Rattus norvegicus: one gene and its partner. The protein of the gene in region 1 binds, or shares a complex with, the protein of each later gene. Links are inferred from orthologs where the notes say so. Each region holds a gene or a part of one and is shown on either strand. Other genes may lie near its edges.

Region 1 (3,814 bases):
TCGGAAGGCTGCATTTTCCAGGCAGGTCACCACACCCACCTGGCATTTATGTGAGTTCTGGTGCTCTGGGCCTTCATGCTCTGTCCTCATGCTAGCACAGACTCATGTTCCTTTTTGAAAACCTGCTTTAGAAAAGTCAAGGGTGTTGTTGCCATCGGCTGCTTGTGAATGTAAAACCAAATAATCCCTTCCATTTCCTTTCCTGTAGGGGGAAGAGATTTCTCAGACATCGAAAGTAAATTTGCCCTAAGGACCCCTGAAGACACAGCTGAGGACACTTGTCATCTGATTCCTGGATTAGCAGACTCTGTGTCTAACTGCCACTTCAACCACAGCAGCAAAACCTTTGTGGTGATCCATGGATGGACGGTAAGAGTGGTTCTGGAGCAAAGGGTGATCAATGAGACCCCAGCTGTTGGAAAGCCACCATCTGTATTTGTCTGCTCTCTGACAGCTTCCTTCTAAACTTGAATAGAGGCGATCTTGGTTCATGGTAGCCCCTATAGTCCCAAATTCAATAGTCCTTCCCCTAGCTGGTGCCCACCTTTGTCTGCTACCCTTGGATCATTCATGGAGGTAGAAGAAGAATGTTCCACTCAACACTAGATAAGGATGTGTTACTGTTTCAGCAAGCCAGTGGAAGCCTGGCATGATCCTGATACACACAGGATGAGCTGCCCCAGAACCAGGAAAAGATTTGTTTGTTCATTCGTTCATTCATTCATTCACTCATTCGTTCATTCGTTCATTCATTCGTTCATTCATTCATTCACTCATTCGTTCATTTGTTCATTCATTCGTTCATTCGTTCATTCATTCGTTCATTCATTCATTCGTTCATTCATTCATTCGTTCATTCATTCATTCATTCGTTCATTCATTCATGCATTCATTCGTTCGTTCATTCATTCGTTCATTCATTCATTCGTTCGTTCATTCATTCATGCATGCATTCATTCTTGCATTCATGCAATCTTGCATTTGTTCACCAAAGGCTCTTTCCTAAAGTCATCTGTGAGAGTAAGAGGAGGCCAAAAGAGCTGCTCAGGTGCTTCTTGGCTGTTCTCCAGCCCTGTGATGTGATCATTTGTGCTCTCTAGGCCTCAGCCTACTGACGTAGGGTAAAACAAGGGGCTTCATATAGACTTCACTAAGGCGCCCCTGCTTCCGATGTGCCCCAGCTACAAACTTAAGGGAGCTTATCAGAGAACTGTCATGGAAGAAGGCTGAAGAACGTTCTTAGGAAGGTAGCTCAGGCTATAAAGTGTTTGTCTTGAAAGGCACAGGACCTGAGTTCTATTCCAGCACTTAAAAAATAAATAATTAAAAAGCAGGGCACAGGGGCATAGCCTTATAATCCCAGGGAGGCGCAGATGGATCTGTGGAGCTCACGGACAAGTCAACCTAGCTTCTTGGCCAATTTCTCATCAAGAGTCCCATCTCCAAAAGCAAGGTGGACAGCTCCTGAGGAACAATACATCAGGCTGTCCCACATGGACCCACCCAGAGACACGCACACACATAAAAAGGAGAGGAACAGAAATACAAGCTGTGGTTAAAGCTACTTGTTTAAAATATTCACAAATAGCCCCTCCCAAGTATGCCAAAGAGTTGCTTTCCATGGTCCTGTTCTGCGAGTATTTCAATTAACTTTTACGATTTTCAATTCCTAGTGAGCAGGTTGCATTATACATTAAAAATAATTTATATAAAATAGATGGTTAAAGATGCATCGTCTTCCTATTCAGAGGCAACTCTTGAACGCTATAGCTATATATCAAATTCCAATGAGAAGAATTAGGTAAAAACAATATACACCCAATACAGATATCTCTTCCCACACACTGAAGTGGTTTTGTTATTGTAATCATTTATAATCTCTACGGATATGTTGACAGCAGGATCCATACAGATGCTTCTGTTTTTAAGATATCATTTACTAGACTGAACCTAGTATGGTATACAGCATATGATGAAAGTCTAACTCCTAACATAACAAAAACTGTGAGTTATGTTATATATCTTTATATTTGAAGTGTTTGGAGACAGTTTCAATGTACATAGTATGGCCCTTCCCAAGAAGTTTAAGCTCACTTACGCATGGGAAGCAACCGCAAGTCTCAACTCTCACACATCTCAGTCCGACCCCTGAAAGAATTTGGAGCTTTAGAAAGTTGCAGAGGGGCTGGGAGACTTTCCTTCTCTTGTGAAGATCTCATGACTAATGCAGTGTCTAGCATGGTGCCAGATGCAGCTCCTGGTCCTACTGCCTCACAAAATGCACCTGTGCTCTTCAGGTCACAGATGGTGGTGTTTTGAGTGCTAGCCTCAGGCGAGGTTGCTGATCAGGCCAGCTGTGTTTCCTTACCACACGACTTGCCTTGTCTGGAATCGAATACAGCCAGCTGATCCTGGCTTATCTGAGCAAACGCTGGCTGGGTTCAGTCAAAACACCTGCTACAGGCAGCAGAGTGGGTTCTGGTTCAGAAAGCTTGTCTGATACAAGCTTGTACGTAGAGAAAGCTAGAAAACAAGACCTTTTTTGAGTAGAGGACAGTGTGTGGCCTCCTCAACTCCTTGTTTCTTTCAACTTTATTTCATGTTGAATAAGAAAAAGGGTTGGATGAGTTGCTACTGAGTTAATTCAAGTACCCAAAAGTGTAGGTAAGTTGGTCACCTGCCCTTTGCCAGACGGCCTAACTTGGAAACATTGATATAGAAAAAGGTACAGCAGAACCTAGAACAAACAGCTTATCAGAGATAAGCTTCCAGGTCACCCAAGGGCATAGACTCAGGGAAGTCAGGACACTCTTCTGTCAGGTCAGGAGAGCTGCCCACTCCCACTGGAGCTTTGCACTAGCTGGGTTTCACTGGGGGTGGGAGTCAGGGCAGTTAACACTATGTTCTGGAGAAATGACACCGTCTTCTGATCTTCTATAGGAGCTGCAAAAGGGAGTCAGTGTGGTGGTCAGGAAGGGAAGAGAATAGGACCAGCTGTCCAGAATGGACAGTCTGCATGTGTTCAGTTCGTTCCTTCAAAGACATGCTCTCAACCCCAACTTGAAGTATCCTGGCTGAGACGTGTTCAAAGAGGCTTACCTGGGTTTTTGGTGGACTGACATCAGCTGCATATTATTTCTTCTTTGCTTTCTCTCCATGCTGAAAATAGTTGCAGAGCTGACCCAGCAGGAGATCAGAACCAGACTGGTCACAAGTGGGAATGTATGTGGGAGCTTCGAGCTGTTCTTTCTGTTACAGGTGTCCCAGGAAGGCTGACGTTAGTTTACAGAACTGATTAATAGGAGAGGTATAACCACAATCCGTATCTCTCGAACTGGCCTTGCCCCAGCACAGGGCACAGAAACTAGGTGAAAAGTTGTCTAGTGTAGGGAGTGACGTGAAGTTCATGTTTGGGTTTTTTAGTCTAATAAAGGCATAAACAATAAAGCAGGAGTCTAAAAGAACTCATCATTTAAGTGTAAAACTCCAGATGGAGTCAGTAGATTTGGGTATCCAAGGGTCCCTTTCCTCTGTTGGTTTTTGTAGGTCTTAATAAAAAGCACATTTGCCAAAGTGTTCTAAGTTCAACAAACAATTGGTAGCCTTTACTGCGGCTGCAAAGTGACCTGACCTTAACATCCTTAATAAATAGTTTGCAAGTGCAAACCTTTCTTTATAAGTACTGCATTTGCATCTCTTAAAAATAATCTTCCTTCTTCTAATTATGCAGCTTTGAATGTTGAGCCTTGGGCTTTCTCTGCACATGCAAGCCAAGCACTTCGCCACTGTACAATGGCCCTGGCCATCTTTCCAC
Region 2 (3,914 bases), on another chromosome or scaffold:
ACCACCTATGCCATGGCATCAGCCCAGAAAGGAACCACCTATGCTATGCATGCGCGCACGCGCGCGCGCGCGCGCACACACACACACACACACACACACACACACACACACACACAAGACAGGCAGACTTCCCAGGACTTGCCAGTGACTCTGACTCCTGTCCTGAGTCCTGCGCTTCTCTCCATAGTTCATGGACTCTCTCCATACTTCAGGCGAGGGAACATGACTCTTCAGTACCTAGCTTGTCCATCTGCAAAGTTCCCCAAAGCTTGAAGGTCTGCTATACCCTGGGAGAGACCCAAGGAGTCCAAGGGCTCACACAGTATACACTGGCAGAGACAGTGACTGGGGTTTGCCAGACAGAAGTCAGTCCCAGAAGGCTCTCTGCCTCTAAGTCAACACCCACCTAGGTGTAGAGGCCCAGGGACGAGGAGACCTACATTCTGTAGGTTTATCAAGGGCAGGAGTACCCCGGAAAGGTCAGAGGCTTCAATATCAGGAGGCAGACATCCAGGAAAGTGTGAGCAGTAGGGAGGCCTCTGGGGAGGTAACTCATAAAGAGACTGAAGGGAAAGGGGGTTACGAAGGGAGCAACCTAAGGAAGAGGAGGCCAGGTCAGCGGGAGCCTGGTTGAGCAAAATCACAGACAAGAGGTGAAGAGAATGGTTCTTGAATCCACAGCTGGATAGACCATGCTCTTTTCTAAATACCTTGCAGAATGACTCCACTTGGGTGGAAGGTGCCTGGCCTGTGAACCTCAAATAGAGTCCTGAGCCCTTATGGTTGTACAGCCAGGGTCCCTAGAGGTTTGAGATAGATGCTGATGCAGCCTAGAACCAGGCGCACATCCAGCATGACAATGCTGAGGCCTGGAGGGATACGGAGCCAGGACAAGACCAGGTGGCTCCTGAGACCAGCACTCATCTTTTGTAGTCCCCACGCTCTCAGAAATGGCTCAGGTGAACAAGACACCCAAGGCCAAGATAATGACTTCCCCTTCCTCTCTATCCTTGGAGGCTCTGGAGGGAAGTGATGTTCCTGGCCTGGTGCCTGTAGCTGGAGACCAATGTGAGGCCCATTGTTTGAGATTAGAGCTGGTGGGGGCCACAGGAAGCCCCTAGTAATGTCCTATGTCCCACTTACCACAGACTCAGAACCCCGAGTGAGGACTGCACCAGTGGACAGAACAGCCTGAGTCAGGATGAAAGCTCTCAGGGCTGTCCTCCTGATCTTGCTACTCAGTGGACAGCCAGGTGCGGGACACCTCAGGAAGGGATGGCCTTACCCACGAGTACCTCCAGGAAGCCCTTGTCCTAGGGACAAGGAATAGGCATGCGGAGTAAGATGGAAGGCCTGGGACTTTTCTCCTCTGCCAGCCGCAGGCTTGACTGCTTCGGCACTGCAGGGGTGGGGGGTGGGGGGAATTCTGTCTCCTACAAAATGGAAAGCGTAGGGCATGTTAGGGGTCAGGACTTGTGCTCAACCCTGAGTGTGACCTCTGCATCTAAGTGGCTAAAGCTTACCGATGTCCTTGTGCCACCAGGGAGCAGCTGGGCACAAGAAGCTGGCGATGTGGACCTGGAGCTAGAGCGCTACAGCTACGATGATGACGGTGATGACGATGATGACGATGATGAAGAAGAGGAAGAGGAGGAGACCAACATGATCCCTGGCAGCAGGGACAGAGGTATCCTAACCCTGCCGGCCGAGGGCCCAGATTCCTCCCACACTTACCTCCCATCCCTGAGGGTAAAGCAAAGCAAGCTGCTAGCTTCCAAGCCAGGAGCCCAGCATGCTCACACAGGCTCTCCCCTCAGGCTGTAACCTTCTCCACCCTCAACTGACATCCAGGTCTGCTCCTCTTGGCCCCACCCCAACCCCTATGTCCCTTAATCCTGGGCCTCACCTTGCCTGAACCCCATGTTTTGTCCTTCCTCTTTTTTTTTTAAGTTTTTTTTATTTATTATATATAAGTACACTGTAGCTGTCTTCAGACACACCAGAAGAGGGCATCAGATCTCATTACAGATGGTTGTGAGCCACCATATGGTTGCTGGGAATTGAACTCAGGACCTCTGGAAGAGCAGTCAGTGCTCTTAACCACTGAACCATCTCTCCAGCCCTTGTCCTTCCTCTTAATGGCTCCAGGCACAGACCCCTCTGGGAGGGCTAAAACTGGCGGTGGGGACAGGGGAACTTGGGCGTGGCCCTGGAGTCTCACTCTCAACCTGAGCTGCCCTACTGCTCACAGCACCGCCTCTACAGTGCTACTTCTGCCAAGTGCTTCACAGCGGGGAGAGCTGCAACGAGACACAGAGCTGCTCCAGCAGCAAGCCCTTCTGTATCACAGTCATCTCCCATGGCAAAACTGGTGAGCATCTGGGGAAGCACACCCAGGGTCGGGGGGGCCGGGGGGGGGGACAGAGAAAAAACCCACACCAAAGCGCATGCTCCGCCCTTACCACCTGTTTCCCACACCCCCCAGACACAGGTGTCCTGACGACCTACTCCATGTGGTGTACTGATACCTGCCAGCCCATCGTGAAGACAGTGGACAGCACCCAAATGACCCAGACCTGTTGCCAGTCCACACTCTGCAATATTCCACCCTGGCAGAGCCCCCAAATCCACAACCCTCTGGGTGGCCGGGCAGACAGCCCCTTGAAGGGTGGGACCAGACATCCTCAAGGTGACAGGTTTAGCCACCCCCAGGTTGTCAAGGTTACTCATCCTCAGAGCGATGGGGCTCACTTGTCTAAGGGTGGCAAGGCTAACCAGCCCCAGGGAAATGGGGCCGGATTCCCTGCAGGCTGGAGCAAATTTGGTAACGTAGTTCTCCTGCTCACCTTCCTCACCAGTCTGTGGGCATCAGGGGCCTAAAGACCCGTCCTCCCCCAACCAGGACCCTTCAGCCTTTCCTCCCTGACAACCAGCTTCAGAGAATAAACTTGAATGTCTTTTGCCATCTAGCCAGTTGCTACTCCTTCGGCCATTCCCTGCCCTCAGTTTCACCCTCAGGCCTCCTTGCCTTCTTCTCTTCTCAGCCCGTGGGTGGGTAACATGTCAGCCTCAGATCTGGCTGTCTGTTGCCTGTGCTGTGGGGACGTTCAGCCTACAGGGGCCCCATCTGCTCAGCTACGCAGAAAAAATAACAAGCCTCAAAGGCTCATTCTCATCTTGAATTTGCCAGCACGAAATTCTCCCCGCTAGAGCCACCATCTAGAGAAAATCAGCCCTTACGTGTGGGGTGCAGGGTGAGCCTCCAGAGACCTGAAGGGAGGAGGTGTTGGAAGGAAACCAAGAGTGTTGCAGGGCTGAAATACAATGGCTGCAGCTAAGGGAGGGAGGGAGGCAGAGAGGGTAAGGAAGGCCTGGCTGCTCAGTAGGGGATTCTTCAGCTGTGGCCTGGCACAGAAATCCATCCTCTTCTGGGTTCTAGAACCTCTCTTCTAGCGTAGGCCTCCAAGAGGATGCTGGGAGCACAAGATGGACCACACATCTGGGAAATGTCACAGAGCCCCAAGAACTCCTTAGGCAGAGAAATAGATGGGACTCCCATCCCTGCCTGGGGGCATGGGTACCTTCTCTGGTGAGGAGAGGCCCCTAGGAGGTAGCATCTCCTTGAGTCATCAGGGAACCTGGCTTCTTGGCAGGAGGGCCCATCTTTGACTGAGTACAGCTCCTTTGGCTGAGCTCTTGGCTTCCGTGACTGCATCAAGCTAGACCTCCACCAGCAGCTGGTGCCAGAGCAGATCTCTGGGGTAGGAAAAAGACCATGCCCGGACCACTGCTCCACTGCTGACTTGGATAGAACTCAGTTTCCCCCACTTGTGCAACAAGCAGACGGCTTGAGGGACTCCCAGGTCCACAGTAGCTCAGCGTTGCAAAACTAGAAGTCTAGAGTCCTTGCCTAA

What was found.
Region 2: the proteins of Lpl (region 1) and Gpihbp1 are in contact, whole or in part, in a crystal structure (PDB 6OAU), measured with the Homo sapiens proteins. The link is inferred for Rattus norvegicus from reciprocal best matches to the Homo sapiens genes LPL and GPIHBP1. Residues at the interface, in NP_000228.1 of Homo sapiens: Tyr367, Gly368, Thr369, Ala371, Glu372, Glu374, Leu403, Met404, Lys406, Lys430, Lys440, Ile443, Cys445, Ser446, Arg447, Glu448, Val463, Lys464, Cys465, His466, Asp467, Ser469; in NP_835466.2 of Homo sapiens: Cys68, Lys69, Ser70, Leu92, Ala94, His95, Gly96, Asn97, Thr98, Glu99, Ser100, Leu103, Thr104, Thr105, Ser107, Trp109, Cys110, Thr111, Asp112, Ile117, Lys119, Val121, Glu122, Thr124, Val126, Met128.

Annotation. Positions count from the first base shown.
Region 1 is NC_086034.1:25,610,322-25,614,135, reverse strand, and holds part of Lpl (lipoprotein lipase precursor), read left to right. Parts: intron 1-208; coding exon 209-369; intron 370-3,814. UniProt on the Homo sapiens protein: Key enzyme in triglyceride metabolism.
Region 2 is NC_086025.1:109,165,238-109,169,151, forward strand, and holds the start of Gpihbp1 (glycosylphosphatidylinositol-anchored high density lipoprotein-binding protein 1 precursor), read left to right. Parts: upstream 1-1,163; 5' UTR 1,164-1,201; coding exon 1,202-1,253; intron 1,254-1,543; coding exon 1,544-1,687; intron 1,688-2,251; coding exon 2,252-2,371; intron 2,372-2,485; coding exon 2,486-2,880; coding exon of another isoform or gene 2,881-2,926; 3' UTR 2,927-3,914.